Linked DNA regions of Diceros bicornis minor. The protein of the gene in region 1 interacts with the protein of each later gene in a pairwise test. Links are inferred from orthologs where the notes say so. Each region holds a gene or a part of one and is shown on either strand. Other genes may lie near its edges.

What was found.
Region 2: the proteins of FBF1 (region 1) and ACCS interact in a two-hybrid assay, tested with the Homo sapiens proteins (2 studies listed by BioGRID and IntAct). The two-hybrid records come from large-scale screens. The link is inferred for Diceros bicornis minor from reciprocal best matches to the Homo sapiens genes FBF1 and ACCS.

Annotation. Positions count from the first base shown.
Region 1 is NC_080757.1:56,321,938-56,333,873, reverse strand, and holds the start of FBF1 (fas-binding factor 1), read left to right. Parts: upstream 1-7,026; 5' UTR 7,027-7,131; exon of another isoform or gene 7,132-7,242; intron 7,243-7,595; 5' UTR 7,596-7,733; intron 7,734-8,124; 5' UTR 8,125-8,208; coding exon 8,209-8,211; intron 8,212-8,800; coding exon 8,801-8,828; intron 8,829-9,928; coding exon 9,929-9,970; intron 9,971-11,936. Other genes in the region: ACOX1 (peroxisomal acyl-coenzyme A oxidase 1), read left to right, coding at 321-511, 779-958, 1,093-1,198, 1,353-1,496, 1,638-1,844, 2,497-2,547. UniProt on the Homo sapiens protein: Keratin-binding protein required for epithelial cell polarization. Involved in apical junction complex (AJC) assembly via its interaction with PARD3. Required for ciliogenesis.
Region 2 is NC_080770.1:25,892,023-25,904,581, reverse strand, and holds the start of ACCS (1-aminocyclopropane-1-carboxylate synthase-like protein 1), read left to right. Parts: upstream 1-6,917; 5' UTR 6,918-7,142; intron 7,143-8,060; 5' UTR 8,061-8,132; intron 8,133-8,442; coding exon 8,443-8,733; intron 8,734-11,351; coding exon 11,352-11,411; intron 11,412-12,559. UniProt on the Homo sapiens protein: Does not catalyze the synthesis of 1-aminocyclopropane-1-carboxylate but is capable of catalyzing the deamination of L-vinylglycine.

The DNA.
Region 1 (11,936 bases):
AATTTTTCTGATTGAAAGTGGATCAGATATGAAGACATGTGGGTTTTGTCTTTCAGTTTCAGAAGTACTGTACCATGTCGGTCATTTGTTAATCAAAGGAACGTAAATGGTGACTTTTTGCCAAGTAGAACAGTTCAGAAGGGAATGTTGGAAATGTTATTAGTTCAGGCCACTTAGATGACCATGCTTCTTCAGTTTACATACGTGACAAATGATGTTGAAAGTGACTAGCACTGTTAGGTGAGGATAAGTGTTTCTCTTTGGAACTCGGACTGTCAGCACCACCAGTGTTCTGATGGCCTTGTGCTTTCCCCCTTCAGCTTCACGCCCTCACCGCGGGGCTGAAGGCTTTCACCACCTGGACAAGTAGCGCTGCTATTGAAGCGTGTCGCATGGCGTGTGGCGGGCATGGCTATTCTCATTGCAGTGGTCTTCCAAATATTTACGTCACTTTTACACCAGCCTGCACCTTTGAGGGAGAAAACACTGTCATGATGCTGCAGACGGCTAGGTGAGAGTCTTAATTCATGATTTTTCTTCTCTATTATCAAGAGTGTTCCAGTCCTTTTCATCAGTTCCTCTTCCCATGTTTTCTCTTCACATTATATTTGTGCCTGAAAGATGTAGTTTTGTCTTTCATCCTGAGCCACTGTTTTTATCTTGTGGTCAGACCAGCGAGTATGAAATACCTGTCACATAGCTTGAAGTTGTTTCAAGAGTTTGTTTCTGTTTCACAAAAAGTATAGTTACTGAAAGCATGTGTGCTGGTGATTTTTAGGTTCCTGCTGAAAAGTTACGACCAGGTGCACTCAGGAAAGTTGGTCTGTGGCATGGTGTCCTACTTGAATGACCTGCCCAGTCAGCGCATCCAGCCACAACAGGTAGCAGTCTGGCCGACTGTGGTGGATATCAACAGCCCGGACAGCCTAACAGAAGCGTATAAACTTCGTGCGGCCAGGTGAGCTCACCCTCAAAAGCTAGAATGGGTAGCTGTGGGGGCCTCTGGGGCTAGGGGCCTGATGGAAGAGGAAGAAGGCATGAGTACTATTGATCATTTCCTCCAAGATCCAGTTTTCTTTCATTTTTTAACAGATTAGTAGCAATTGCTGCGAAAAACCTTCAAACTGAAGTGGTTCACAGAAAAAGCAAGGAGGTAGCATGGAACCTAACTTCCGTTGACCTTGTTCGAGCAAGTGAGGTCAGTGATAGTTCTCTCCCCCTCTTCTTTCTCCCGCCCTCCGCTTCCCTTCTCCCCCACTCCCCCTCTTGCTGTCTTAGTGCAGAAACCCTTGTCACTGTGTGTTGAATCTTTTTCAAAGGTTCTCACACTCTGGTGTTTTCTTTTTATCTAGGCACATTGCCACTATGTGGTAGTTAAGCTCTTTACAGAAAAACTCCTCAAGATTCAAGATAAATCTGTCCAAGCTGTCTTAAGGAATTTATGTCTCTTGTATTCTCTGTATGGAATCAGTCAGAATGCAGGGGATTTTCTTCAGGTCAGTATTTTTAAGGTTAAGTCCTGTTTATTTACTTTTGTAGAAAAATAATTGTGGCCTATTTTATATTTGTGTGTATATAAATATCTCTGTCTCTATACAGACATATATATGTTTGTTTGCTTATTTTGTTTCGTTTAGGGGAGCATCATGACCGAGTCTCAGATTACCCAAGTGAACCAGCGTATAAAGGAGTTACTGACTGCCATTCGCCCTGAGGCTGTTGCTTTGGTTGATGCTTTTGATTTTCAGGACGTGACACTCGGCTCTGTGCTTGGCCGCTATGATGGGAATGTGTACGAAAACTTGTTTGAGTGGGCCAAGAAATCCCCACTGAACAAAACAGAGGTAAAAAACGATGCCTTTTCACCTTTTGAAATTCTTCATTTAAATATTAAGGCAGGAAAGATCTCTGAGAGTGATCCATCTGTGGAACCTTTGAAAGCTCTTGTGACCATTTCGGACAATCACCTTATTTGAGCAACAGGTTCAGAAGGGAACTGGGTCGTTCCCACAGTAAGCAGGTTTTTAATTTCCTTGAGTAGTTAATAACTAATTGAAAATTTTCAAACATGTACAAAAATAGAATTCTCTAATGCACCTGCATGTACCCTTTGTCCTGCTTTAACAGCTGTCTACTCACAGCCAGTTGTGGTTCATCTGAACCCCCCCAGCCGCCCCACCCCGGGGATTATTTTGAAACAAATCTAAGGTATCAGATTATTTTATCCATAGATATTTCAATATGTATCTCTAAAAGATAAAGATTCTTTTAAAAAATTAACCACATTCCATTCTCACACCTAATAAATTAATAGTAAATTTTTTAGTATCGTGAACTACCCACTGTTCAGATTTCCCCAATTGACTCAATTTTTTTTCCCTTAAGTTTCTTTGAATTAGAATCCAAATAAGGTCCAGGTAATTTCTCCATTAAAAGTACACTGTTTTACATTACAAGCTCCTTATCAGTAATTTCTTCTCTCTCCCTTCCCTAAAGGTCCATGAATCTTACTACAAGCACCTGAAGCCACTGCAGTCCAAGCTCTGAAGTGTCATGACGAGTGTAATCTGTTCCAGAAAGCAGCTCTGCTCTTCTACTCCCCTTGCTCCTGTCGCTCAAATCTGTGCGGCATCTTTATCGAATTCAGAGAGCTATAGAGCAAATGATAAATTGACCCCTTGCCTCTTTTTATAAATGAAGGAAAAAAAGAACAGATTTCAGAGATTAAATGAAAAAAAAGGTGTGTTTTAAGTGCAATTAACACTGAAAGAGACCTGTTAAGCATTCAGAAAAAGCTTTAAGAAATGTCATATGACTTCCATTTATAATGCTGCTGATCCCAGTAGGCCATGCCTTTTGATAATTAGTAGAATTTAACTACTAAGTAGTTAATTATTTTCACATCTCAGTTCTTAATCACTGGATATATAAGTGTTTTTAAGCAAAGATATTTTTTAAGTGAGGTATAACCCTTCCAGGCTTTCCTGCTAAATGTCCTACCACTCCCACCGTGGGGCCTGCTAAAAAGCAGGACTGAAGAAAAGGGATTGGGGGCAGGAAACTGATTGTGAGTTTGTGCTTGACACACTGACACATTCTCTGCCCGCTTGCCCTCCTTTGCCAATGTATTGCCGTGTATCATTCCTATCTAACTATTCCTGGTGCATTTTCCCAGCACAAGGATTTCTTCAACACAGGCCTACTGCAGGATCATTGTCTCGTGTAATTGGGAATTCATCTCCCGTTCGAGGAATCCCTAAATTGTCTATAGTAGCTCTACAACTGCCTTTGTCGCTAACGTCTTGGGAAGGGGTAGGTGGCAAACTTATCTCTACATGTAACTTTTGGCAGCTGATCGGACCTCAGTCAGTGGTGTTTGCTCTCCTTTCTTCTGAAGAAAGGAGCAAAAAGAGTCACAGTTCTTTCTTAGTAGAGTAAGTGTAGGGAGAGCTCTCGGTTACGGTTATTGTAACTTGGGTGACCATATTAACTGGATTTTCTGAAACAACTCAGATTTCATATATTCTGTCATTTTGGCGTAAGCCATTAAAATGCTTGGAGGGTACAGTATCGGGCGTTAAAAAAATAAAAGCATCACTCAGGTTACCTCTTACACCCAGGAGTAGCACAGAGATATCCTTTGACAAACCATGTTCTGATTTTTGGATGAGAAAATATAATCATTGAAACTATGGCTAAAAGATAAATGGAAGTTCTAAAGAATTGTGTATCTGGGTTTGTTTTCAGTATGTTTCTAGGAGCTTTATCTGAATTGCTAAGTTGTCCTTTCAGCTGAAATCTAATTTATACAATCATTCTATATTTAAAGGTTAACATGAGTTTTTTTCTTGAAATCAATGTAAAACATGTCACTTGATTTTTTTTTTTTTAACCTGTTAACTATTTGTGTCTGTGATATCTGCCTCATGAAACCAGTTGTTCTAGACCCAGTTGTTGAGAAGGTAGTATAATTCAGTGAAAATGTAATTCCTATCTTGAGACCTGCCGTAAACTCTATCCCAGTGGAACCAGTAATATGAGACTTTTAGGTCCAGCAGAAATACTGTCTGTTGACACAAGCCTTAATCTTTCTACCAGGAGAACTAAGTAATAGTTGTGTTAAGACTGAAGTGAAAAGCACTCTTTGTTAATCTCATTTGGGTATATCTTGACAGTAGTTTGGATTCTGGGAAATAACAAAAAGTAAATTTAAATTTCTTAATATTGACCTATTAAATGTAGATTTGTTTCAGAATTAGTGGTTAAATACCTTATCCACAGATGCCTATCTGTGGGTCAGGATCTAAGGGTGTTTGAAATGACACCGTCCCACCTAATCCAGCTGCATAGATCTGAGATCTGTCTTTAGCAGATGTGAACTGGATGTAGACATTACATCAGTCTAGCACCTTGAGTTTTATTTAAAAACTAAATCTGATATTTGATACTATTTTTATTAACATTGGAATATTTTGTCATGAACTTTATTCACTGTAATTAAAGAATAAAGATATAGTAAAACCTCACTAATTTGTGCTATCAAGAGGGAAAGAGTGTACCACACAATTAAACGTGTTTCTTATGAAATTCTTAGGAAGAATTTTAAGATACAGGTTTATTAGGTTTAGGTAACACTAAAAACAAAAGATGAAGGCATGAGAGCTGCCTGAGCAGATGGCTCTTACATTAGCCGTAATCACTGTGGTAGCAGTGTCTGTGCTGGTCGATCTAGGAATACATGTTTGTTTTGTTGGCTACTTGGTAAAGGAAGCAGCAGGTCCAGTTTGCTGTCCCTAAGAAGCCAGACTTTGCCACAGATAAGTTTGGTTCTATTGGGTACTTTTGTAAGCTGTTTTCACAAAAAATACAAAGATAAATTTCAATTTTGTATTTTGGATAAATTTTGGAGAAAACACAGTCTTCTCCAAAATGATGATAAATACTGAGTAGAATAAGATTTTTCTATTAGATGATAATGATATAAGCCTTTTAAGAAAGTACTCTGAACAGTACCCAAAATTGAAAATTTGAGGTTTAATAGAGATGTTTTTGCTATTTGTAATGGATGAAGGTTGATTCTTCCTGAAGTGTTGGGAGCTCTGCTTTGTGCTCTTCTAGAGATACACTGAGGTGTATTTCAGTATTTGGACATTAGTGACCTGAAAACACAGTTGGTCCCAAAGCCTTTGGGGCCCTTCATGTTCTTGTCTTCAGAATGTAGCACTGCTAAGTATCAGCTTATCTTCAGAACATTTGCTTAATTGCAACATTACCTACATTCTCATGCTTTCTAAGAACTCACTGCTTGTAACTTCAGATTACATATACCTGGAGGCATTTTATAGTTCCTAAAGTTAACATGTTAGATCTTAATTCTTGGTTTTCTTCAGTGCAGGGCTTTGGCTAGAGAAATATAACTTCAAATTCATGATTCTAGAGTTCCCTGGGAAACGAAAATTCTTTAGACTGCTGCTGCTCCAAGTCCCTCCTCCCCCTATCTGTGTTCTTTCCATCTGTTTTATTAGGAAGGAAGAGAATTAGATGCAGATGGTCTGTAACACCTGCTAATCTTTATATATGCGGAAGGTATGCCTCGGGTTATAGGTTATCTTCAAGAGTAGCTGCTGCTGTAGCTGGAGAGAGGAGCCGTGCCAGGAAATTGATTGTTCTGCTTGAGACCAAGAGTCTTGGTAATTCTGACTCAGATAAGGCTTTGATCATTTTCATGGAGTAATGTAGAGATCATTTCAGCTAATTGAATATTTACTACTCCATGCTTGGAGGATTAGACCAAGTCACACTGTAAATGACTAAAATGACTTTTCATTTTGAAATAGTGGTGGTGGAGTTTTGCTTTTAGCTATCCACACTTACAAATTTTTCAGTACCTCTTCCTGTGGTCCATGATACTAAACATAGAAAACATAGAAGGAACCTTTGGAGTTAGCAGATGATAGCTGTTGCAGACCTGCAAATTCCTGGATTCCAAGGGGTTTTTATGTTTGACTTTGACTTTTGCCTTAAATTTGTGTGCCATTGATTATCTCGGGAAGATCATGGGAAATTGGGAGTGATTTTACATATTATGAACTAAAGTAAATTGTTTTGTCACAATACTGTTGACTTTCCTAGGTTAGGTATCAAATGTGTGATCTTCAACATAATCAGACTGCTGACTGCTACTTTGTAAACACCATTTTATTTCCAATTGTTGTGGATTCAAGGACGGGACTTAAACATCCTTTGTAATATATAATCACTCTGCTACCTTTTTTCCTTTTACTGTTGTGGTTTGAGTTTGGTTCCTACCTGACAAGATGAATTTCCATGTATTGTTACCCATCCCCGGCCGGACGGGTCGAGGGGGTTGGGAGTACTGAGGAGGTGCGCTGGTCCAGAGCGTGTGAGTCACGGTTGGACGGCAGTGACCCGCCAGCACTGATTGGCCTGCGAGTAAGGCAAACCACTAACTCCCTTTTCCTTTGTAAAACTGGAAAACCCTTAATAAAATCTGTAATTAACACAAAAAATGTTACGTGTCTTTATTGGGAGGCTGTATTGGGTTTCATTCTGGTTTCGCAGCTTTGATTTTGATAATTGAACAGAAAGGTCACAGCCATTTCCCGAAGCTTTGTTGTGTGGGATAAATATATATAATTATGGTTTATCGGTCTTCCAATCTTAACACGTTTTTCACGCCTCCAACCTCGCCACGAGTCAGCCCCCAGAAGAGTGCTGGAGGAATTTTAGTGTTTGGTTTTGGAGCCCAGGCCCCCGGCAGTCTTCTAGGGAGGGCGAGAGGAAGAACACCACCGGCCGTCGCGGCCCTGTTCCCTCTTTCCGAGCGGGTGTTGAGGGAGCACCCAGCAACGCGCGGAGCCGGGAACAGAGGCCCGGCCTCCACCAACGGCCAGGGCGGGGCACCGTGGGAAATGTAGTTCATCTCGGCGCCCGTGGTTCCCTTGACTCCAGCAGCTGAGCGGACCGTGGACTACAACTCCCAGGATGCCTCGAGACTCGCCTTCCGGAGGCCGAGCGACTGAGAGATTGGCGGCCGCGGGGTTCTGAAGCTGGAGGACCGACCAAACTGGGCTCTCGCGGAGCCGGGACCAGTGGACATGGCTGGGACAGGTGCCCTCGTCTGCGCCTCTGCGGGGAATGGCGCGTAACCCGGAGGATTTCAGGGGCTAGAAGGATTGTAGGCTGAGCTCGGAGCGCAAATGGTCTGGGCGCTCGGAGAGGGTGACGCATGGAGGGGCACGGAGTCTCGGGACCGAGGGGGTGACTCCGGGAGGGGTCTTGCTAAAGGGCAGGTTTGGGATTTTAAAATGCCTGGCACGGAGTTGGTTAAAGAGATGCGATGACGCGATGGTACTGTGTGGCCCTGTGGCTTTTGCAAACCTCTCTTAGAAATTCTCGCGGTGTGGGAGGCTGGGACAGTATCGATAGGAGATGGCAGAAGTTCCTGGATGTGTTATGGTGCAAAACATGTTTGGACTTGTAGGTCGTGAAAATTGCCATTACAGAGAAAGATACAAAAATAGTCAGAGTGGCCCCTATGCATAACCCAGCTAAACTTTGCCTTCTAATAACAGGACAGGCCAAACCCAGCGAAACCGAGATGGCCTCCTCCGACTCCTTTCTTCCAAGGCATGCCAAAAGTCGGTTTTGGTAATGTTGAGGAGGGGTAGGGAGAGAGTGATAATTCTGAGGAAAACTTCTCTATTAATGAGGTGAGTCGGATTTACAGTTAGTGTGAAGGGAAAAATTTCCACCATCAGTGAATATAGTGTCAAGGAGTAACCAGCACTCACATCAGCTTTTGTGCTGAATGCTGCCTAGGAAGTAGTCATGGGTATTGCCTGGGAAGGTGTATTGGCCATAGTACCTAGCACCTACTTCCTTTCTGAGATGGATACCTGCCATCCCCCCCATCCTCTCTCAGGATAAAGGATGAGGACCACTGCCCTTTATGGGAGTAATCTTGAAGCCTTGAAAAGCTCATTAAGTTACCCAGAGCACTTTGCTTCTCATCTGAATTGCTGTCCCCATAAGGAATTGTTAATTTATGGAAATAGGAAAGCTCCATCATTTTTAAGCAACCACTTTAATTTTCTTTATTAGGAAGGATGAGCTCCATGTGGGCAGAATTCAAATGATGTGGACAGCGCTGTGAAGGAGCCACAGGCAGCCCCTAGAGCCTTAGAGATGGTAGGCAGAATGCAGAGTAAGATGTATGGAAATGTGAACCCGCTCTTACCCCCACTCCCACCCCCAAGATCTTGACTGCATGGAGTACTTGGGGGCTAGGTGTCAAGGACCAGGATGTGGTCCCCAGAGAACTGTGCTAGGAAGTAGAATTGATGTCAAACTTCTTATTAAGCAATGAGCAAGACTTTCTTCTGAGCCTCTGAATGTCCAGCTGGAAGCATTTTTAAGTGTCTCTTGCTGGTATTGAGGAGACAGGGACATGGAAGAGAGGAAAACATTCCCAGTCACATTACAGCCTGGCTGGGAAGGTTTGCATGTGGTGTCTGGAAATCAGTGAAAAGCAGAGACTTCTGCCCACCGGATTGCACCCACAGTGGCATCCTGTACTGGTTAGTGGGAGCTTTTCCACGCTCTGAATGAGTCTATTCTGAGAAACTCTAGGAAAGCATAAAGGGCTTCTGTCTCTGAATGCCACTGGAGCTCCTTTTTCTCTCGTGACTTGGCAAAAGACCAAGCAATTCATTCTGCATTCTCAGTTTCAACACATGTTCACTGATTTTGTTAATGTGATTTGTTTTTCCCATTTTAGGCACCAAAAACCAAGAAGGGATTGAAAGGTGAGTGGAGAGATGGAACATCACCCTTAAGTCAAAAATAATTTCTGCCCCTTGGGTCCAAAAATAACTTTGTTGTGTCTGAATGTTCTTGGTGTGAGTCTTGCTGATTTCCCCATAATTTCATAGGCAGCTTTGGTCTTCCTAGGGGACTCCTTATGCTGCCTCATTGGCCCTCAGAGTAATACAGAAATAAACTAGGGATGGGAATTGAGGAAAAAACCCTTCTCGTTGGGCTCTGTATCCAGAAGCATACGGTTGGGGGCCGACCCCGTGCCTTAGTGGTTAAGTGCGCGTGCTCCGCTACAGGTGGCGCGGGTTCGGATCCCGGGCGCGCACCGACGCACCGCTTATCCGGCTATGCGGAGGCCGCGTCCCACATACAGCAACTAGAAGGATGTGCAACTATGACATACAACTGTCTACTGGGGCTTTGGGGGGGGGGGGGAAAGGAAGAGAATTGGCAATAGATGTTAGCTCAGAGCCGCTCTTCCTCAGCAAAAAAGAGGAGGACTAGCATGGATGTTAACTCAGGGCTGATCTTCCAAAAAAAAAAAAAAAAAAAAAACATACGGTTGGGGTTACAGGTGGTGGTAAAGGCACTTCAGCTGGATGCAAGACCTCATTCAGGACTCAAACTTGGGTTTCCCCCACATGACCCCATCGGAAAGTGGCCAAGAAGGTATGTCTCCAGACCAGTTCTGAAGGTCTCAGATGGAAGGATACAAGGAGGCTATTGGTATGAAAGAAGCTTGTATGTGCCTAGAAATCTTGGACACTTTTCCTAAAGAAGCAAACTGGGCTTTGTTCCAAGTCTGGAAGACTGGCTTGTTGGCCAGTGTGTCACACAGAATGTAGGTTCTACTGAAAATCTTCACCACCATCCTTTGAGAAAGTTATTTTCAATTTCTACCCTAGGGTCTTTCCACAAGGCATTGTGACTTGTTGCCAGAGAGTTAGAAAACATCTCGTGGCCCGTGAAGAGAGAGCTAAGCCCAACATCTGAGACCTCTGAGGTCCTGGAGTGAGGTCTCAAGACGTGAGGCTTGTAAGGATCATTCTTCTTTTCTCCTGAGGTCATGATGGCTGCTTTTCTCTTCCAGGCTCCATAGATGATGTCCTTGGTGACCTCCTAGGGGATGACAGTAAGTGCCCCTTCCCCAGAATCCCTTCGTTTAGGCTTCTTCTTTTCTTTTTTAAATTGAGATATAATTCATGTAAAATTCGCTTTTAAAGTGTACAGTTTGGTGGCTTTTAGTGTATTCACAAAGTTATACAACCATCACCACAGTGTAATTCCAGAACATTTTCATCACCCTGTAAAGAAACTCCATACCCATTAGCAGTCACTCCTCGTTCTCCCCTCCCCCCAACCCTAGGCAACCACTTGTCTACTTTCTTTCTCTATGTCTTTGCCTATTCTAGATGCTTTATATAAAATGGAATCATACAGTATGTGGCTTTTGCATCTGGCTTCTTTCACTTACCATAATGTTTTCAAAGTTCATCCACACTATAGCATTCCTTTTTTCATTTCTTTCTATGTCTGGACACTATTCCAGTATGGAGATGCCATATTTTGTTTATCCATTTGTGAGTTGATGGATATTTGAGTGATTTCCACATTTTGGCTAGGCTGTTGTGAATAACGCTTTTATCAACATTCATATACACATTTTTGCATGCACATATGTTTTCAGTTCTTTGGGGTATAAACCAAAGAGTGGAATCATTGGACTATATGGTAACTCTATGTTTAAATTTTTGAGGAACCACCAAACTATTTTCCACAGCAGCGGCACCATTTTACATTCCCACGAGCAGTGTAAGGGGGTTCCGATTTCTCCAGGTTCTTGCCAATACTTGTTATTTTCTGTCTTTTTGATTATAGCCATCCTAGTGGGTGTAAAGTTGCATCTCATTATAGTTTTGATGTGCATTTCCCTAATGACTAATGATGTTGAACAAATTTTCATATGTGTATTGGCCATATGTATATCTTCTTTGGAGAAAGGTCTTTTCAGATCCTTTGCCTATTTTTTTTTAATTGATGTCATTATAGTTTATAACATTATGAAATTTTAGTTGTACATTTTTGTTTGTCAGTCACCGTATAAATGCATCCCTTCACCCCTTGTGCCCACCCCCCAATCCCCTTCACCCTGGTAACCACCAACTCTTCTCTCTGTCGGTGTGTTAGTTTATCTTCCACATATGAGTGAAATCATGCACTGTTTGTCTTTCTTTCTCTGGCTTATTGCACTTAACATAATACCCTCCAGGTCCATCCATGTTGTTGCAAATGGGACGATTTTGTCTTTTTTTATGGCTGAGTAGTATTCCATTATATATATATATACACCACATCTTCCTTATCCAATCATCAGTCAAGGGACACTTGGATTGCTTCCATGTCTTGGCTATAGTGAATAATGCTGCAATGAACATAGGGCTGCATAAGCCTCTTTGGATTATTGATTTCAAGATCTTTGGATAAATACCCAGTAGTAGGATAGCTGGGTCATAAGGTATTTCTATTTTTAATTTTGTGAGGAATCTCCATACTGTTTTCCATAGAGGCTGCACCAGTTTTCATTCCCACCAGCAGTGAATTAGGTTCCCTTTTCTCCACATCCTCTCCAACATTTGATATTTTTTGTCTTGGTGATTATAGTCATTCTAACGGGTGTAAGATGATATCTTAGTATAGTTTTGATATGCATTTCCCTGATGATTAGTGATATTGAACATCTTTTCATGTGTCTGTTGGCCATCTGTATATCTTCCTTGGCAAAATGTCTTTTCATATCCTCTGCCCATTTTTTGCTTGGGTTGTTTATTTGTTGTTCAGTTGTGTGAGTTCTTTATATATTATGGAGATTAACCCCTTGTCAAATATATGATTTGATAATATTTTCTCCCAGCTGGTGTGTTGTGTTTTCATTTTGATCCTGGTTTCATTTGTCTTGCAGAAGCTCTTTAGTCTGATGAAGTCTCACTTGTTTATTTTTTCTTTTATTTCCCTTGTCCGTGTAGACATGGAATTCGAAAAGATCCCTCTATGACTGATGTCAAAGAGTGTACTGCCTATGTTTTCCTCCAGGAGTTTTA
Region 2 (12,559 bases), on another chromosome or scaffold:
CTGAAGTGCAGCATCTCTGAACCAGAGGCTCTATGGTGGTCTACCATGACTGAGTGTATCTGGGGCCCACCTGCAGACCTAGTAAATATTTCTCTCTCTGTCCCCATTTGACCCTGCCAGCCATGCGTCGGTTCTGTCAGGTGCTTGTGGAGGAGAGGCAGGATTTGATAGTGAAGCAACTGGAGGATACACTGAGGGAGTAAGCGGCCTGCCTCCCAACCAGGGGCTCCAGCCAGTCACACGCTCAGGGCGTCCCACATGCTCCGCCCCTGGTCCAGAAGGCTGGGGTATTGACCTGGTGCCCTGACTGAACAGACAGTGGGCTTCTGCAGGCATGGGCTCATCTGACCTAGTCATCAACCTCCTTAAGCTGAGCACCTGTCATTTTTAGAAGCTTTGCATCTTTTTTTAGTCTTTGGTAGCCGTTGTGTGTGTACAAAATGTGTTTAAGGGGGTTGGGGTAGGAAAGCCTAGAGAGGAATAAAGGCAGCTTTCTGGGTCCCTATTCTGATGGGTTTATTTTTGTATTCCGTATCTAATAAATTCCATATTCTCTTAAATTCCAGGTCTGTTTTATTTCTTGTTCACATTCTTCCTGTCATCTTTGGGAGCTAGATGATTTTTTTCTTTTTCTTTTTTTTTTTGTGAGGAAGATCAGCCCTGAGCTAACATCCGTGCTAATCCTCCTCTTTTTGCTGAGGAAGACCGGCTCTGAGCTAATATCTATTGCCAATCCTCCTCTTTTTTTTTTTCTCCCCAAAGCCCCAGTAGATAGTTGTATGTCATGGTTGCACATCCTTCTAGTGGCTGTATGTGGGACGCGGCCTCAGCATGGCCGGACAAGCGGTGCGTTGGTGGGCGCCCGGGATCTGAACCTGGGCCGCCAGCAGTGCAGCGCGCACATTTAATCGCTAAGCTACGGGGCCGGCCCCTTCTTTTTAAATTCTAAGGTGGGTTATATGTGCAGAATGCTGTCTGGGGGCAGGTCAGAAAGGAAGGAAAAAGGTGATCCCTAATTGATGGGGACTTTCCAGGTGTTGGATGCAGTGTCCCTTAGGATCCTTCCATGATCACACCCACCTTACACATGAGTGGCTGAGTGGCAGGGTGGCGGTTATAATTCCAAACGTTCCTGCTTCCAAATACAAGTTCTTTCCATTCTTGCCTTCTCAAAAGGCTTTTGAAATGAATCTCTGGTGACAAGCCTGGGTCTTCCATTTTCAGCTCTAGTGTTGTCAGCTGTTCAAATCATACCACCTGTGTGCTTCTCCGCAAAGCCCTTGCACGTCTGAGCTTTAGCCTGAGGACTGATGCTGTGAATGGGCAGAGCAGAGACTATCGCCATTTTCTAGAAGATGCAAGAGCTTTTAGCACCAACTGATGGCTTTGGCCATTCACTTGGGTTTGTGACCATCCTCTCTCTCTTGGGTCCAGGTTTGGTGGTTCTTGTTCTTCAATGACAATTTTTCCTTTTTTTTTTTCAAATCAACAAAAAGCAGCACACCAACAAATCCAGATTCTTCAAGGTGGCTTTTTCTTTTTTTTTTTTTTTTTTTTGTGAGGGGGACCAGCCCTGAGCTAACATCTGTTGCCAATCCTCTCCTTTTTTTGCTGAGGAAGACCGGCCCTGGGCTAACATCCATGCCCCTCCTCCTATACTTTATATGGGATGCCGCCACAGCATGGCCTAACAAGCGATGCATCAGTGCGTGCCCGGGATCCGAACCAGTGAACCCTGGGCGGCCGCAGCAGAGCACACGCACCCAACTGCTGGCGCCACTGGGCAGGCCCTCAAGGTTTTTTCTTTTACACTAGACAAATTTCTTTAGAAACTGACTTGGCTAATAGACATAGGAAGGGAATTCACCCGATGAATGAGGGAGCACTTAGGACCAGAAGAGAAGGTGGAGATGGGAACCAGAGTCTCTTGAGATCTCTGTAATGGGAGCTATAGTCTCATAAGGCCACTGTCCTGAGATGGAGAGGATGGTGCCTTCCATGGAAGAGAGAGGCTGTTTCTGTCTTCTATTCCGTTCAAGATTCAAACGGTTATGTGAGAAAAATTTAATATTTTCCTATCCTCGAGTGTGGAATCTCCCTGCATTTATTTATATCTTTAATTTCTCTCAGCAAGGTCTTTGTAGCTTTCAGTGTACAGATCTTACACATATTTGGTTAAATTTATCACTACATTATGCTTTTCATATTACTTTAAATGTATGGTTAATTTCATTTTCTAATTGTTTCTTGCCAGTATATTGAAACAACTGATTTTTCTATGTTGTATCTATCAAGGAATTTGAAGGCTCTGAGATTTTACCCTACTTGCAAACCAACAGGTTTCATGGATCCTGGCAGAAGGCATGAGAATCCTGGGTCAGAGACAAAGGACAGCTTACTACTCACAGCAGTAGCAGTAATCAGAGTATCAGCTTTCAGTTGCCCAAGCCCTGATTCTTACAGGGCAAGCTGAGGCGCACTAGCGGATGCCTCCATGTGCAGTGCGTGTGTTGCAAAGGAGGAAACCCAAGTTTAAGGAACCCGATTCTTTTATAATGGGCAGTAAGCCTGCCTGAACTTTGGCCCTGAGGGAGACATTATCTTATTATACTGAGTAGTAAACCAACCTATCATCTGCTCTGGAGGGAGACACTGTTGCTATCATGCAAGGCTGTTTGATATATATACACATATATCCTTGAAGATAGCCTAGAACATAGGCAGTCAGTGTCCCTGCTTGCAAGAGAGGCAGAAACATGAGAGACTGAGGAAGATTCATCTCCTGACAGTGTCTTGTGACCTTGCTAAATTCACTTATTAGCCCTAGTAGTTTGGGGAGGACTTTTTAAAAAATTTTCAATGTATACAATCATATTGCCTGTGAATAAAGATGATTTTCCTTCTTTGTTTTCAATATTTATGTCTCATTTTTCTGTTCAAATGGCATTGCCTAGAACCTCCAGTACAATGTTGAATAAAAGTGGTAAGAGGGGACATTCTTGCCTTGTTTTCAATCTTAGCAGGATTGAGTTCAGTCTCTTATTCTTAAGCATAACGTTTCTGCAAGTATTTTTCATACTGCCCTTACCAGATAGAAGAGTTTCCTTCAATTCTTAGTTTGCTGAGAGTTTTACCATGAATGGGGGTTTAATTTTTGTCAGATGTTTTTATCTGTACCTCTAGAGATGATATAATTCTCTTTCAATTATTGTGGTAAATTACATTGATTAAAAAAAATTAAACCAACATCATATGCCTGCAATAAGCCCCATATAGTCATTGATGCATCATCCTTTTATATATTGTTGAATTTGGGGAATTTTACATCTATTTTCATGAGGGATATTGCGCTATAATATTCTTTTTTGTAATGCATTGTTGTTTTTGGTATCAGGGTAATACCTCATACATGTTTTGGAAGTGTTCCTCAATTTTCTGAAAGTTTGTGTCAAATCAATTTTTTAAAAACTTTAAATGTTTGGTAAAATTCACCTGTAAGGCCATCTGTACCAGGAGTTTTCTTTGTGGGAAGGTTTTTACCCATGAATTCAATTTCTGTAACAGATATAGGGCTATTCACATTTTCTATTTCTTGTGTCAGTTTTGGCAATTTATGTCTTTCAAGAAAATCTGTCCATTTTATCTAAGTTTAATTATTGACACAAAATTGTTTATAATATTCCCATATTATCCCTTTAATATCTATAGGATCTGTAGTGTTATCTCCTCTTTCTTTATATTGAAATGAGTTTTTTTGATCAGTTAATTTAAATGTTTATCAATTATATTGAGCTTTTCAAAGAACCAAATTTGGTTTCATTGATTTTTCTCTGTTGTTTCTCTTCTGTTTCATTTCCATTCTTATCTTTATTTTCTTTGTGTTTAATTTGCTCTTTTGCTAGCTTTTTAATGTGGAAGCTTAACTCAATGGTTTTAAGCTTTTTTCCCCCAAATATAAGCATTTAAAGCTATTGATTTCTCTCCAAGCATTGCTTTAGCTATACATAATTTTGATATGTTGGTTTTTTTAAACATTCAATGTTCTAATTTCCCTGTGATTTCTTTTTTATCTATGATTTATTTAGCATATGTTACTTAGCTTCCAAACATTTGGGGATTGTTCAGCTATCTTTGTTAATGGTATCTACTTTAGTTCCGTTGTGACTAGAGAACGTAAACTACAATTTCAATCCTTTGAAATTTACTGAGACATGTTGATGGCCAAGTATAGTCTGTCCTGGTCAATGTTTCACATGCACTTGAAAAGAAGTGTATTCCGTGGTTTTTGGATGTGGTGTTCTATAAATGTTAATTAGATTTAAATTGTTTTATGATGTTTAAATCTTCTGATTCTTACTGTTATTTGATCCATTCTATCTATTACTAGAAGAAGGATGCTAAATTTTCCAACTATAATTGTTGATTTGTCTATTTCTCCCTTTTATCCTGTCAGTATCTGCTTCCTGTATTTTGAAGCTTTGTTATTAGGAGTATAAACATTTAAAATTGTTTGTCATCCTGATAAATCGATCGGTTTATCATTATGAAATGTTTTGAATTTTTGGTAATTCTTATTTTGAAGTCTATTATGTCAGCTTACAAATATTTTAGCTTTCTTATGATTTTTTGTGTTAAAATACACATAACATAAAATTTACCATCTTAACCATTTTTAAGTGTACAGTTCAGTGGGATTAAATATATTCACATTGTTGTGCAACCATCACCACCATCCATCCCCATAGCTCTTTTCATCTTGTAAAACTGAAAATCTGTACCTATTAATAACTCTCTATTCTCTCCTTCCCCACTTCCGCCAACCCCTGTCAACCACCATTCTACCTTCTGTCTTTACGATTTTGCCTACTCTTAGTACCTCATATGTGGAGTCTTACAGTATTTGTTCTTTCTGTGACTGGCTTATTTCACTTAGCATAAGGTCCTCAAGATTCATCCATGTTGTAGCATAAGTCAGAATTTCCTTCCTTTTGAAGACTAATATTTCATTGTATGTATATACAACATTTTGCTTATCCATTCATCCGTCAACGGACATTTGGGTTGCTTCCATGTTTTAGCTATTGTGAATAATGCTGCCATGAACATGGGTGCACAAATATGTCTTCAGGACCCTGCTTTCAATTCTTTTGGGACTATATCCAGAAGTGAAATTGCTGGTTCATATGGTAATTCTATTTTTTAATTTTTTGAAGACTCTCCATATTGTTTTCCACAGAGGCTGTACCATTTTACATTCCCACCAACAGTGCCCAAGGGTTCCAATTTCTCCACATCCTTGCCAACACTTGTTTTCTGGTTTTTTAATAATAGCCATCCTCTTATCATTTGTGTGGTATGTTTTTTCCCATTTTACTTTTAACCATTTGTCTTTTTATTTAACATGTCTCTTGCAGACATGTTCATATAATTGAATTCATATACTTGAATCTTGCTGCTTTATCCAGTCTGATGATCTTTTAATCGGTCCTGGTCATTACATTTAATGTAATTATTGATATGGTTGGATTTAAGTCAACTGTCTTACTACTTGTTTCCTATTTGTGCTATATGCTCTTTATTCATTTTTTTCCTTCCTGTTTGCCTTCTTTCAGATTAATCAATCATTATTTAGTATCACATTTTATTGCCTTTTTTGGCTTCTTATACCTTTTGGTTTTTTAAAAACTTGTTTGCTCTGGGGATTACAATATATCTGTCCCATGCCCTCAGTGAGAAGTCCACAGTCCTTATCATGATTTATTTACAAAGACTCATGACCTGACCTCTGCTTGTATCTCCAGCCTTCCTCCCAGACCCTGCAACCTCCAGCCGAATTAGATTTGTTGCAGTTCATTAATGCTCCGCACTGACTCAAACCTCCAAGACCCCATCAAACCCTTCCTTCTGCTTCCAACACCCCACCCTCCAGCTAGCTAACTAGGACTCATCCTTCAGAACTCAACCATCACTTCCTAAGTGTTTAGGGTGAATGTATGGTGTGTAGGGCTTTCTGTGTGAGCCAGTGCCTATGTTTGTGGGGGTGGGGTTAACCCCCCCTGCTGCATGCTTCCATAGCCCCCAGCCCTCCCTTTCTTAATAGTCATCACATCCATATGGCGGCCTTCCCAAGCAACCAAGCCAGCGCCCTGTTTGTCGTGCTCATCGCTGTATTCCAGCATTTGCAGAGATCTGGCACAAGTCAGGCATTCAATGAGACTACTTATCTGAATTAAATAGAATGATGTGACTTAAATGGAGAGAACTGGCTTATTTCACAGAACATAACTAGAGGGCCAAAAAAGTCCCGAGAGCTGCTCGAGGTCACAGTGTTAGTGGCAAGGCCAAAGTGAAGACAAGTGGAGTGGTCAGAAAACAGTCAAGTTTTCCCAGGCATACTTGTAGCGAGGGATCCTGCGTATTTCCTGTCAGGGGGAGAGGAGAATTTTCCTACTCCAGGAGCCTCGGAGAGCCTGGGTGCTCTGACACACTGCCCAAGCCCCGGAGGTGTAGGGTCCGTGGCAGAGTTCCACAAATGTTGCGTAGAAGGAAAGGGGGAGAAATTAACAAACCCCCGTGAAAAACTCTCATAGAAGAAGGATGTTTTAAGGATGCCCTCCCCTTAATCGAAAAGGCTTTTCTGTGGGCGACAACCAGGCGTACACTTGCCAAGACCCTCCGTGGCTCTAACAGCCTCAAAAGCGGAGAACTAGGCCGGGGAGGCAGAGGGAGGCGCGCCCGCGTGCCGACGGGGGAGGGGGGGACACCGGAACCGACAGGCCACAGGGCGCCGAGGTGGCAGCGGGCGGCCCGCCCCTTCCTCGTGGAAGTCTCCGCCCCGGGCCCCTTCCCCTCCTCCGGCTGCTCCTCGGGCCTGAGCGGCCAGTGGCGGGGGGAGCGCGCACGGGAGGATCGGAGGAGCCCGGGCCCCCGGCGTGCGGCCACGTGTGCGCCCCCTAACGCGCAGGCCGCACGGAGGCGTCCTCCGGCCGCGGTCGCGAGGGGACGACCTGGGCCCCAACAGTCCAGGAAGCCCCGTGGTCCCCGAGACCGGGTGCCCTGGGGCCGGGTCCCCGCGCGTAAAGCGTGTGCGGGCGAAGGAAGCGGACGCACGTGCCAGCGCCGGTCCCCGCCAGCTCGGCCAAGTAGGTGCGACCCCCGCGTTGCAGAGAAGGGCGGCCTCGGGGCCCCGCTTCGTGCAGGGCTCGAGGACTCTGCACAAGTCTGCCCTTCCGTCCCCAAGCCCTTTGCCCCACTCACACTTCCTCCTCCTGGACACCGGGAGCGCCTCTCGCGAGCCGCCCGCCGCCGTGCAGAGGCCCTTTCGCTTTTTATCCCCCGGATCCGCCCCGCTGCGGGATTCCCAGGCCTGATCGGGCGCGGGTGTCCGGCTGGGGACGCGTCGCCGCCCGGCTGCACGCCCCGAGCCCGCCCTTCGCTCGGGGGCGGCGCTGAGCCGAGCCCCGCCGTCCCCCAGGCCTCCGGGCCCCGGGCTGCGCCTCCCACCCCGGCCTCCGTCCGCGCTGCCCGTCGCAGGCCTGGGCTGTCGGGAGCGACGGAGGTGAGCGCTCGGAAGAGCCCAGCCGAGCCTGGGAGGACCCCAGAGAAGACTTCGTGGACCACACTTTAATCGGGCCCCCCCTGGGTTTCTGGGCCGCTGGCTGTCACCCATCATTTGGTGTGTGGGGCTCGTGCCTCAGGACTGGGGTTATGATATAACCTCCTCGGTGAGGAGTTATGATATAATCACATGTTTCACTGCGCTTGGGCTATGAGGCAGGATTTGTTCTAAGCGCTTTATCTGCATTAACTCATATATTTATATCCTCACTGCTACCCTGTGTGGTAGTTACGGTTATACCCGCTGTGCAGAGGAGGAAGCTGGCTGAGAAAGTGGAGGAGCTCACGGGATGAGACCGCCCTCTCCCGGTGCCCTGGCCTCCCTCCCTCAGGAGTGAAGATGGCCCCTGGAGCTCTGCCTGGGGGGCCTGCACTTGTGGAGCCACCCTCTGCTGCAGACCACCGAATAATCTCATCCTATCCTTCACCCCTGTTCACGGCAGTCGCCACGGGCCCCTTCCGGATTCCAGGCTGCTTCAAGTTGGAAAATTTGAACCTGGCTTTTTGCAATTGAGGTAAGCGAGAATGGGCAAAGAACTTGGTGACCCCTTAGGCTGCAGGATGAAAAACTTCACAAAAGTAAAACAAGCCAAAGCAGCTGTCTGTTAAAGTCATATGAAAGCAAACACAGCTCCTGGCATGGCCTAGATGCTTAACAGGATTTACTTGTTGAAGCGATTGCACACATGGTTACAAGTAGTAACCACAGGGACATAGGAAGTGATGAGCATACAGACTTAAAGGAAGGAGCAGATGGGGAGGGGGGGCCATGACACCAATTCATTTCTGATGCTTGGTGCATTGAGTGCTTTTGTCTTTTTGTAGATGTTCGCCCTCCCTGAGAAGGAATCCAGGGCACCTTCCACCTGTCCGGGCCCAGCCTCCACACAGGACCTGGACAGTAACTATGGGGATGGTCTGGAAAGAGAATACTCTAGAAAACCAGACCAGAAGCTGCTGGAGCTCTATGGAGTGGGTGATCCCACCACCAGGTTCTCTTCCAACAGCTCCCACCTGTCCTCTAGAGGAAGAGTCATTAAATGGTTCTGGGACTCAGCTGAGGAGGGCTACAGGACCTACCACATGGACGAGTATGATGAGGACAAGAACCCCAGTGTAAGTGAAGCCCTCTCCCCACTGGGACTCAAGAGAAGACTGCAGGGTGGGATACCCTATCTTGACCAGTAGGGCAGCACCCAGCTTGCTCTTGTCAGGGTGGAGTTATGGTCCTCTGATCTCCTAGAGGGCTTCTGATGTAGTTCAGGGAGGCCCCAGTTTATTAGCTGGATCAGAAAATAGCCCATTTATAATTAAGGGGGCCCTGATTTGTGAGGGAGGAATTCAAGAACCATGGAATGCTCTTATATGGATTCTGACCCACTGCCCATCAACTGTCCAACTTTATAGATGGGACAGGACTAGGGTTCAGGTTGCAACTGTTTCACTTATGGGTTGTGTATTCTTGAGCTAATTACTTAACCTCTTTGAACCTCAGATCATCTCTAAAATGGGATAATGACAACTGCTGTATAGAATAGTCACAATGAAATGAGATCAGGCATGTAAAGTTATTAGCACAGTGCTTCCACATAGAGCAGTCAATAAATGGTAGCTGCTAATATTATTAATGTTATCTGTCCTGATTATTGTAAGTTATTACCAGTAATACCTTCAGAGGGCAGAGAGCTCTCACGAATAACCCTTTAATAATGTTTATTTGTTGAGCATCTACCAGGCGCCAGGCACTGTTCTAGATGCCAGGGTTACAGCAGTGAATAAAAATAAAGTTCCTGCCCTCATGGAGTTTATAGTCTAGTGGGGGAGACAGACAGGAACAGACAAAGAAAACGTATGATGTGTGGTGATAAGTGCTGTAGAGAAAAATAAAGCAGGGTAAAGAGGATAGAGAATGATGGAGTGGGCTGGGGGTGTTGCTACTTTATGTCAGGTGATCACAGAATGCCATTTTAATAAGGTGACATTTGAGCAGAGACCTGAAAAAAGTGAGGGATTGTATTAGTTATCTATTGCTGTGTAACAAATTACTTCAAATCTTGGCAGTTTAAAGCAAATGTTTCACAATTTCTGAGGTTCAGGAATCCAGGTGGGTGCCCCAGGCTGAAGATCTTCTGTGAAGCTGCAGTAAAGCCAGGGGCTACGGTCTCATCTGAAGGCTTCACAGGGTGGAGGGGAGAGGATCCACTTCCAAACTCACTCACAGGTTGTTGGCAGGCCTCAGTCCCTTGCCACATGGACTTCTCCATAGCACTGCCTCATGACATGGCAGCTGGCTTCCCCCAGGGCAAGTGATCCCAGAGACAATGAGAGATCACGAGTACCCAGGACGGAAGCCACGGGCTCTTTATAACCTAATCTTGGAAGTGACATCCCATCACTTCTGCATATCCTATTCATTAGAAGGAGGGCACTAGGTCCAGCCCGCACTCAAGGAGAAGAGATCACATAAGGATGTGAATACCGGGAGGTGGGGATCCCTGGGAGTGAGCATTCCAGGCAGAGGGAACAGCCACTGCAAAGGGCTCAGGGTGGAACCATGCTTGATGAGTTCAAAGGACAGCAAAGGGGTCAGCGGCTGGAGATTGGCTGGAGATGAGGTCAGAAAGGTAACGGGGTGGGGGTGGTGAGAGACCCTGGAGGGCCTTGACAGGACATGGTGAGCCTTCTAATTTTAGACAAAGTGGGATGGAAAGTGTTTAAAGGAGGAGCAACATGATCTGATTTTGGTTTTAAAAAGATGATTTGGACTTGGACTGCTGTATGGAGATTAGACCCAGGGTGGGCAGTGATTGGGAGGGAGTGGGCAAGAAAGGAAGCAGGGAGCTATTACAGTAACTTAGCCGGGAGATGCTAGTGGCTTGGCCCGGGGTCTTGGCAGTGGAGGGTGAGCAGTGTTTGGACCATGCACGTGTTTTGAGGGTGGAAGTGGCAGGATTTACAGGAGCGTTGGCGTGGGTGGAGGAGTGTGAAGGAGCACTGGCTTTTAGTTGTCATAATCTGAGCTCATCCGAGCTGTACTTCTTCATCCTCCTCCTTCCTCATGCCCCCAGTAACTCAGGGGTCAGGAGGATAGCGCATGCGTCTCTCTGCGACTCTATAAGGGACGACTTGAGCTGTGCCTTCCCCCATCCCTCCCCTATGAGAATCTGTGCCTATGGGGTGGGGTCAAGGTGGGTGATGTCGCGCGGGTCTCCGGGGGAGCATTTCCACCAACACAGGGCTCTTCTTGCTCTGCATACACCCTCGTTTCTGTTCCAGCCAGAGCCCCGATTTACTTTGTACATTCCTTCATCCCGTAAAAATGTATTGAGTCCTTCTAAGCGCCTGGAGAGACACAGTGGTGTCTCAGGCATGCATCCAGCCTTCAGGGACCTTCCCATCTAGTGGGAGAGATAAGGAATGTACAACAGTCCCTGTGACCTGGGGCAGAAACTGACCAGTGCTCTAAAGGGTCTAGAAGAAGAAAAGATCTCTTCCAGGTGGGGTTTTGGGGAAGGCTTCCCGGAGGAGATGGCATTTGAATTGAACTTTAGAAATAGGTAGATGGGTTCAAGGAGCAGAGTGGAGGGCACGGCTTGAGCAAAGGCAAGGGGGGCGCTTGGAAGGGCGGGATTGCAGGGAGCTCCTGCCTTTCTTTGCTGCCTCGGTGCGTTCCGCGGGCCTCTCGTCGGCCCCCTCTGCCATGCTCACCCTGCCTCTGTACCTCTCGTCTCCAGGGCATCATTAACTTGGGCACCAGTGAGAACAAACTCTGCTTTGACCTGCTGTCCAGGCGGGTAAGTCCCAGTGCGCCTGTGCATGGCATCGCCAGCTCCAAGGGGCTGTCTTCTCTTGGACATCCCCAGAATGCTTCCCCCACAAGAGCTGGCTGCTTACCTCCGCAGCCCTGGCCTGGATGTCAGGAGACCCAGATTCCAGATCTGCCTCGGGGGTGACTTTCTATGTGATCTTGAGGGAGTCACTTCCCTACTCTGATCTTGCTTCTTTATCTCTTTAGGCCTTTCCCTCGCTCAGTCCCTCCTGCTGTCTAGGTCCCTGCTCTCAGAGGGGAAACGCTAAGTGGTGTGTGGTCAGTATTTAACAACTGGCTCTTCAGTGGGGAGAAGAAGCCCTGATTTGTAGCTTTTGCTAATTCCCATAGTGTAAATACTCCCACATGGCCGATTTCAAGCTGCTGATGTGATGTCACTGCAGGCAGAGTTGGGAAGAGAGGCGCAGTGTGGCACCCGTTATGTCACGTCCCCCCGTCCAGACACATAGACGGAAATAACCTCGAGCACAGATGATAGTCAGATGTAGTAACATCATCGGGGCAATGATGTTTGAGTGCTTATTGTTTTAAATATAATTTACATAGTTTATATATAATTTAATTTTTTAAATGATTGTTTTTTAACACAGCTTGCAAAATTCCTGAAAATTTAGTAAGCAGATTTCTTGAGCTGGTGCGAGCCATCTCTAGCAAACGAGATGTCTTCCCAGGTCTTTGAGTCAGAGTTTGAGATTGTAGAGAGGGCGACACTTAACCCAAAGGAACACATTTCCTAGGGTGAAGTCTCCAGGCCCCAACAGGAGACGGAGGCAGGGAGTGGGCTTGAGAGGCCTGTTCTACCGAAAGCCAGCTCTCTGCTCTCAGGCAGCTCAGCACCGTCCAATAGAAATAAAATGTGATATGTGATAAAATAAATGTGATAAAATAAAATTATATGTGCCACACATATAATTTAAAATTTTCTATTAAATAAGTAAAAAGAAACTGGTAAAATTCACTTTAATAATATATTTTATTTAGCACCATAGATCTAAAATATGACCATTTCAACATGTAATCAACATAAAAAATTATTAAGGAGCTATTTTACCTACTGTTTTCAGATCAATCTTCAAAATCCAGTGTGTTCGATTCAGACCGGCCACATCCCAA